2 linked regions of the Mus musculus genome follow. The protein of the gene in region 1 binds, or shares a complex with, the protein of each later gene. Links are inferred from orthologs where the notes say so. Each region holds a gene or a part of one and is shown on either strand. Other genes may lie near its edges.

Region 1 (3,818 bases):
TTTTATTTTACTTCACTTTTCAACTAAAAATGGGTATCTGAATGGTGCATGAATACTTCTGACATTTAAAGTTTGACAATGCTGTTTTTCATTTGAATGTTATGCAAACAGAACAAAACACAGCAGCTAACAGTGTTCAGCATCACAGGTGAAAATTTAAAGCCTTGTTTGTTTGTTTGTTTGTTGCTATACCTGCCAATGGGTTGGAACCTCACTGAACATCATAATTTTGTTCTAGAATCTAAGCTCTTTGAGAAGCCAGAACTCTACTAGTTGAGTTAGGCTGCTGTTACCAGCTGAGATGTGTATGTGCGTTCACAATCCCACATCTGCTACACTCTCATTTCTTCCACTCATTTTCATTTAAATGCTTTTTCTTGAGTTGTTACCTATAAAAATTATGTTTCTATACATGTAAATGTATACAATCTTAGCTTGTATCACTTAAGTTGTAATGAGTATGAAGTTAGAACATTCTGGAAGGAATGAGCGTGGTTTCTTTTTTAATTCCTCATTTTTATATCACTTACTATTACTAGATTATATATCTTCTAAACCAAATTAGAATATTTCTTAGACATTTAAGACATCACATGATACAAGTATATTATAAAATATTCAAATGCTATAAATCTATGCTATTATTTGTTCATTTTAAGGGTACTACTTTGAGAATCATATTTTAGACTTAATACTTGGAAATTCTGACAATAATCAAACAAAACTTTAAGTTTTTAATGATTGAGAGTTAAATGAAACAAATGTGCTATGACGTGAGGGTAGAGAAGGGGGAACAGTGTCAAAGAAGCATCACCATGTAAATGTAACTCGGGTCGTGTCTTAGGATTATGTAACTAAGAGATCACATGACCTTGGGGTTTTACTTTTAATGTATAAGAAATGTATGGATGCTTTGCCTGATGTATGACTGTGGAGCTTGTGTATGCCTGGTACCCGTGGCAGTCAGAGGAGAGGATCAGATAGATCCCCTGGCCCTGAAGTTAGACGGTTGTGAACTTCCATATGGGTGCTGAGAATTGAGCCCAGGTCATAAATCTAATATATAATTTACAAATGTGTGACTGGTTGTTGTGAATTAGGGAAACATAAGATGACACAGGGTAGACAAGGGTTCCCCCAAGGGTGTAAACTACAGAAAGGAAACAGGTGGGGTTAAGGACAAAGAGAGCAGAGAAAGGGGACAAAGGAAAAGGGAGCAAGGCCCCATGTGGTCTCACCTCAGTGGGGGTGGGAGTTTCAGGAGGCACTGGCAAAGCAGAGAAGAGATGGAGCCAAAGAGAAGGGAAAGGCCTGGGGAAAGAAGAGCGTGGAACAAGGAAGCAGGAAGCCACACGATGGGCCATGGGCGGGTGAGCGGTGCTGAGACAAGAACCCAGAAGGGCAGAGAAGACAGGAGGTTGGTCCAGCACATCCAGACTCTCTAAAGAGCTTGCAGTTCACTCAGGATTTTGAAGAGTGTCCTTTCAGACTACAACTACCTTGTGGCAGGCTAGCCATAACCCTTTGTTGGGTTTATGATAAAACTTTCAGAGTTCACTTTGAGGCAGAGACAGACTGCACAGCTCAAAAGGAAATGATTTCAGCTGGCTCAGGTGACTCACACCTGTCATCTCAGAATGCCAGGGCTGAAGCAGGAGGATTGTCCTTGGCCATCCTAGGCTACACACTAAGACCTTGTACCAAGGGCAAGAGTAAGATCAACCAGACTTTTCTGATTTGGCACAGCCATAGGTACAATTTAGAATCCAAAAAGCTGTGACTAAAAGGCAGGCGTCCTCTGGCCCTGCTAAGACCCCATGTGTGTTGTCCATGCATCACAGAGAAAATCGTTTTCTTGAAGCTTCTTCACCTGGAACATCACATCAAAGGAAATGTGTCTAAGGAATGCAGGCTTTCTGTGTCAATGTTGGTTTCTAATGAGTATACACTATTGGCTCTGTATTGTGTGTAAGAGCTGGAAGTAGTTGGGCCTGGTGGTACAGGTTTGTGATCTCAGCTACTGAGAGGCTCACATGAACAACTTAGAAAGACTTTGTCTCAAACTTAAGAACAAGAGGGAGTGTGTGGATAAAGCTCTGTGGAGGAGTGCTCCCTTAGTTTGTACAGAGCTCTAGGTTCAGTACCAGGCCAAAAAGGCAGCAGTAGATACTTATTTATATATGCATGCATGCATGTGTGTGTGTGCAAGTTCACATATGATTTGATTTTAACTGTGAGCACTTTCGATTGCAATAAAATATTTTAAAATGAATCTAACAAAATCATTAGGTTGTGTTATTGTGTTTTGTTTTGTTTTGCTTTGCTTTGCTCTGTTATGACAAGGTCTTACTCTACAGCCCAGGCTGGCCTTGAACTCACTGCTCTGTCACAGTGTTCTGAGTTCTGGTGGGCATGCGCTGTCACATGTACTTTGAATTGGTCCATTTAATAACAGTTCTCTAAACACTAAACCTATTCTTGAGGCATATTTTTAACCATTCGGTCATTGACCCACTTCATAATTAAACCCCAACACTATTTGCTATGGCCGAAACATTTACTTATAAGTCTTTCTCTACTCATAACCGTGTAGGCGAACCAGCGATTAAAAATGTATTTTTGGCATCTAAAATTGTCATGTGCTATTGCCTTGTCCATTTTTTCAGCCATGATCTCCTCTTGATTTGCACGAGGTATTGCAACTTTTTTCCAACCACTGCAGGCAAAAGATACAAGAAAGATACTACTTTCAAAATATTACTTTGAAACTAAGGTAATATAATAGTAAATAAATTAAGAGGAATAAGAAGTGAGATTACTTTTATCCCCTCAAAATCACAGCAAGAAAAAAAACCTGTAAATTGGGGATATGTCTTGAAGAATTTCTGATAGTTGCCAGGGAGGGTAAAATGCTACATGGTAGTCATATTTCCTTTTTAATAAAATAACCACATCTTGGGATAATATTATTATCATAACTTAAATATATGCAGAGAATCATCTTTAATGATGATTTCAAAAATTTAAAAAGGCCGGGCAGTGTTGCCTTTAACCGAGTATTCTGGAGCCAGAGGCAGGTGGATCTCTATGAGTCAGAGGCTAGCCTGGTCTACATAGTGAGTTTTAGGCTAGCTAGGGCTACATAGTGAAACTCTGTTTTGAAAAAAATAAAAAATTTAAAAAGGAATTTCGGTTCCCAAGCATATCCAACTCCAAGGATTTTTGACACGTTCATTTTTAGAGAAGAGGTGTTGTTACTAAGTATAAACTCATCAAATATAAACAAATCAATAAATGTACTGGAAGCATGGGTGGCCTGGAGTGGGCTTTCCTATGCATGGAGAACAGCAGGGCTAAAGAAGCAAAGAAAAAGAAATACTATGTAAAATCACATTCTTACCTGAAATGTGTCTTTACTAAATGTCCAGTGTAAAATGTGCATGCTTTTATCATCAACTCTGGAGTCACCTAAAGTAAAGAAGCAATTAAACTATTAGAAATAAATAGGGCAAAGCTGAGTGTCAATAGCACACACCTAAAACCCCAGCACTGCGGAGGTGGAGAATCTCTGTGAGTTCAAGGCCAGCCTGTCTATGTGGTGAGTTCCAGGCCAGCCAGGACTACACTGGGAGACCCTGCCAAGAAAGAAAAGAGAACCAGGCGTGGTGGCTCACGCCTTGAATCCCAGCACTTGGGAGGCAGAGGCAGGTGAATTTCTGAGTTCGAGGAAAAAAGACTGGCAAGGAGCTGGGGCCAGAGCTGCCTCTGGGAATAGGAGGGGAGGAATGAACACCATTTACATATTTAGAAATTACACT
Region 2 (4,352 bases), on another chromosome or scaffold:
ATATAAATTACTCTTCCATATTTTGGGGTGATTAATTTACTGTATGCTTGAGTTCATCTTGGAAGTCTTTCTTTTCTTTCTTTTCCTTTCTTTCTTTCTCTTTCTTTTTGTTTTATTGTTTTGTTTTTGTTTTTGTTTTTGTTTTTTTGAGACAGGGTTTCTCTGTGTAGCCCTGGCTGTCCTGGAACTCACTCTGTAGACCAGGCTGGCCTCGAACTCAGAAATCTGCCTGCCTCTGCCTCCTGAGTGCTGGGGAAATTTGCTTGATATGCACCATTTTCTGATTATTCAAATTGTAGTTAGACACTTCATCAAATCTTTATTGCCTATAGAAAAAAATATTTTAATGAAGAGTACAGTTGGCCTGCTTTGAGGGTTCATTCACTGAGATTACAGAACTTCGATGAATAAAAACTAATAATAAAAAATAAAATACTGAGATGTAAAGTGAATAAATAACTATATTAAAGAAAAATCAAGACAAAACAAAGGCCTCTACATTTAGTTACTTTTACAAAAATATTTAAATAAGTACACATATACCATGAAATTATCATTAAAGATTAAAACTAGATATTAATTTGAGTCACATTGTTAGACATTTCAAAACTGTTGGGTTTTTTTTGTTTGTTTGTTTGTTTGTTTGTTTTGGGGGGGTTTCATTTAAGGGAGAATCTTAGTATTCTGAGCTTATCCATCAAATAACAAAACACGCGATAGCCAAGTTTCTCAGTACTCAAAATTCTCATCGGAAGGTCATGCCAAATTGCACCATCAACATACAAAATGTGTGTATCCCTGAGAACAGACCGTCAATTTATTTGTTGCTATGAGAACACTATTTTGTATCAGAAATTGCAGCCTTGGCGACGCAGTGTTTGCGCCTATTTTGCACATGTTTTTCTACAGCAAGTCCTCTCTCTCTCTCTCTCTCTCTCTCTCTCTCTCTCTCTCTCTCTCTCTCTCTGCGATCCCGGGGAAAGGCTGGGCTTCCTCCTGCACTGGCCCATGTCCGTTTTCGCTCCAGTTCCGTGACTGGCAGAGTGGCTCCGCTCAGGAGAGGGTGACGCCAGAGAGCCACAAGGCCTGGCTCGGGTGGGGTTGGGGTGGGCGGACGCTTTTCGGGGAGGGACCGTGTAAGGGGCCGCCAGGTCTGCGCCCGGTTCTGGGGCGCACCTGAGACGGCCGGGAAAAAAAAAAGCTGAATAAAATAAGTAATTAAAGAAATGAATAAAGAAATAAGCAAGGCACACTACGTCCTTGACAGTCACAATCAGGCCCAGGCGGGTTCCGGAGCCTTGTTAATAAATGACGCCCCTAGGCCCAAAGAACGCGGGCCTCGGTTCTGGTGGGGGCGGGGATCGGGGGGCCACCGTGCATCCAGGGGCTTTCTCCGCCCGCGGGGTCCCGCAGGGTTCGTGCTGGATGTCTCCCGGGCGACCGGCTCCGCACCAAGATGGCGGAGGAAAGGGACGCGGAAGGGACAGGTAGGACCCTGCCTGGGGTGCCACGACGTCGCCTCTGCGCCTGAGGAAGCGCCCCCCGGCCAACATCTTGAGCCCCTCGGCGTGGCGACAGTGGGCTGAAAAGCGGCGCCAGCCCGCGTCCCCACCGTCCGCCCTCCCGTCCCCTCGAGAGGTCTGCGCGGGCTGTTGTAGCCCCCGCCGGGGAGGTTCATAATGGCGTCCTTGTCCCTGGCACCTCCCCTCCCCGTGAGGGCGCCAGCCGCGGTCTGGGTGGGCTGTGGGTAACCCGGAGGGCGGCCTCATGGAGGACTGGAGCTGCGACTAGAACCTGGCGGGATCCTCTGCGGCTGTGCCGAAACCCCGCCCAGCCCGGCCCAACCCGGCCCCAGCCGCCTCCATTTTGCCTCCTCCTCCGCCAGGCGGAGCGCAGCCTCCAGGTCAGACTGGGCCCTAGCGGCCCGGGTCGCGCTAGAGCCTTGCATAAGGAACACGCACTTTAATCACTTTAAAGAAAACCCAGCCGGGACTTGTCGGGCCGCCCAGACCGGCCGGGTACCCGAGAGGCCTCAGGGGACCCGAAAAACTAATGTTTCATGTTGAACTGCAAGACCTTTTGAATTGTTGCTAACCCAGCCGAATGACTTAAAATCGGATCTGTGACTCAACAGCCATTACGTGATAAATTGACAACATCACCGCTAAATAAATAGTCAAGCAAGCCCTAAAATAGTAAATGGCAAACATTGCAAAAAAAGTGAAAGTAACACTCCATCTTTGCTGACTCTCTCCCCTCCCTCTTGTATTCCCCCACCCCCACCCCCACCCTCTGGTTTGGAACACAGTAGTTAGGTTAACAACTAATATTTACACGAGTTGTTTAGTCCATTGTCATGGTGATTACAGGAACCCAGCAGGGAAACTTGAGACCCTAGATTTTTTTTTTTTTTTTTTTTTTGGTTTTGGCTGTCCTGGAACTCACTTTGTAGACCTGGCTGGCCTCGAACTCAGAAATCCGCCTGCTTCTGCCTCCGGAGTGCTGGGATTAAAGGCGTGCGCCACCACTCCTGGCAGCTAGAGATCTTATTGATGACCTGTGATTTATAGATGGTAAAATTAATCTCAGAAGTCGGCATTGTAGTATAGAGTTTTAACTCTACTAAGGTATCAAGATTTTTGTGGTGCTATTTTAGAAATGGAAGGTTTTATTCTACTTTTTTGTTGTTGTTTTTACAAAGAATATGAAGTTAGAGGGCAGGGAGTGTCGGTGAGGTGTTGGGGGAAGGGAAAGAATATGATCAAAATATGTTGTATAAAAAATGTTTTAGGTGAGTCGGGGGTGGTGGTGCACACCTTTAATCCCAGCACTTGGGAGGCAGAGGCAGGCAGATTTCTGAGTTCGAGGCCAGCCTGGTCCTACAAAGTAAGTTCCAGGACAACAAGGGCTACACAGAGAAACCCTGTCTCAAAAAAAAAAAAAAAAAAAAGTTTTAGGTAAAAAAAAAAAAAAAGCTTCCCCAGAAAGTATTTTTTTTTTTTTAGTTATACTTTTATTACCCCCCTCAAAAAAAGTAAAGGAGAAAATCATTAGGGGATGAATTATTTTTTAAATTAATTTACCTTATGTGTATTGGTGTATTGCCTTTGTGTATGTCCTTGTGAGGGTGTCGGATCCCCCAGAACTGGAGTTGCAGATGGTTGTGAGCTGCCATGTGTGTTCTGGGAATTGATCCAGGATTCTCTGGAAGAGCAGGTAGTGCTTCTAACCTCTGAGCCATCTGTTTTTTTGTTTTTTGGGTTTTTTTTTTGTTTTGTTTTGTTTTTTAAACAAAATCTAAATCATTTGGTTTTACCAATGAAAACCCGGGAGCCAGAATCTGTGGTGAAAGTTTGCTAGCTCAGAGAAGCAGAGAAAGCACCCAGCTGACCCTGCTCCTCAGCCAGTGTCCCAGACATTGTTTTTTTTTTTTTTTTTTTTTTTTTAAATAATCCTATGTTTACTCTCTGTCAATTGGTTGCTTGTTCCACCTCTTAACTTATGGTTGACTTTATTTAATTTTGTTTATAATATTCAAGCAGAGAACTCTTGGATAAATGCATATGCTAAAGCTGAAACACACCACAACTAGAGACACAATAGGTGTTATTAACACAGTGGGAACAAATATCCATCTCTCCAGACCCCTCCTTTTCTTTTTAAGTTAAAGACTTATTTAGGGTAGCATTGGAGTATACTGCAAGTTTTTACAATGTAAAATTATACACACACACACACACACACACACACACAACACTTAGGATCTCACCTTGTAGCTTTGATTGGTCTGGAACTCCCAGAGATGCACCTGTCTGCATCTGAGTGAGTGCTGTGACTAAAACTGTGTGCCACCACACCCAGCCTGATTTTTACAGTTGTTATCCCTGCTTGAGAGAGACAGAGACAGACAGAATTTCTGTTTCTTTAGTTTCCAAAACATATTTTAATGTTTAGTGTAAGTTTAGGAGAAAAAACAGTTCAGTCTGCAACTAACTGTGGAAGTAATGGCTGTTGAAAGCTGGATTTCATATATTCAATTTCTTATATATTTAATGCTTGCTTCATGGAAAGTAGTCTGGTGAATGTTAAACCTGAAAATTGTGATGAGGAAGATGGAATCCATGGTTGTCCAACTGAAGTAAGCTTTATTAAATACTGGCCAGGAAGATGGACACTGGCCATGTCCCTATGTGGGATTCTTACAGAAATGGTGATGAATTCCATCCTTCAGGTGCCTGTTAGGCCAGGCTCATGAAACTCCTTACTTTCCACCTTGGTTCACTGGGGCAAGCATACATCCTGACTTCCTTCCTGCCTGTGCGTCTCCTGCCTGGATGTGACCAAGCACATCC

Evidence for each region.
Region 2: Fbxl13 (region 1) and Efcab2 share a complex: the UniProt entries of both Homo sapiens proteins name them as parts of the nexin-dynein regulatory complex. The link is inferred for Mus musculus from reciprocal best matches to the Homo sapiens genes FBXL13 and DRC8.

Annotation. Positions count from the first base shown.
Region 1 is NC_000071.6:21,618,049-21,621,866, forward strand, and holds part of Fbxl13 (dynein regulatory complex subunit 6), read right to left. Parts: intron 3,469-3,818; coding exon 3,401-3,468; intron 2,717-3,400; coding exon 2,562-2,716; intron 1-2,561. UniProt on the Homo sapiens protein: Substrate-recognition component of the SCF (SKP1-CUL1-F-box protein)-type E3 ubiquitin ligase complex.
Region 2 is NC_000067.6:178,404,647-178,408,998, forward strand, and holds the start of Efcab2 (dynein regulatory complex protein 8), read left to right. Parts: upstream 1-1,371; 5' UTR 1,372-1,456; coding exon 1,457-1,487; intron 1,488-4,352. UniProt on the Homo sapiens protein: Component of the nexin-dynein regulatory complex (N-DRC), a key regulator of ciliary/flagellar motility which maintains the alignment and integrity of the distal axoneme and regulates microtubule sliding in motile axonemes.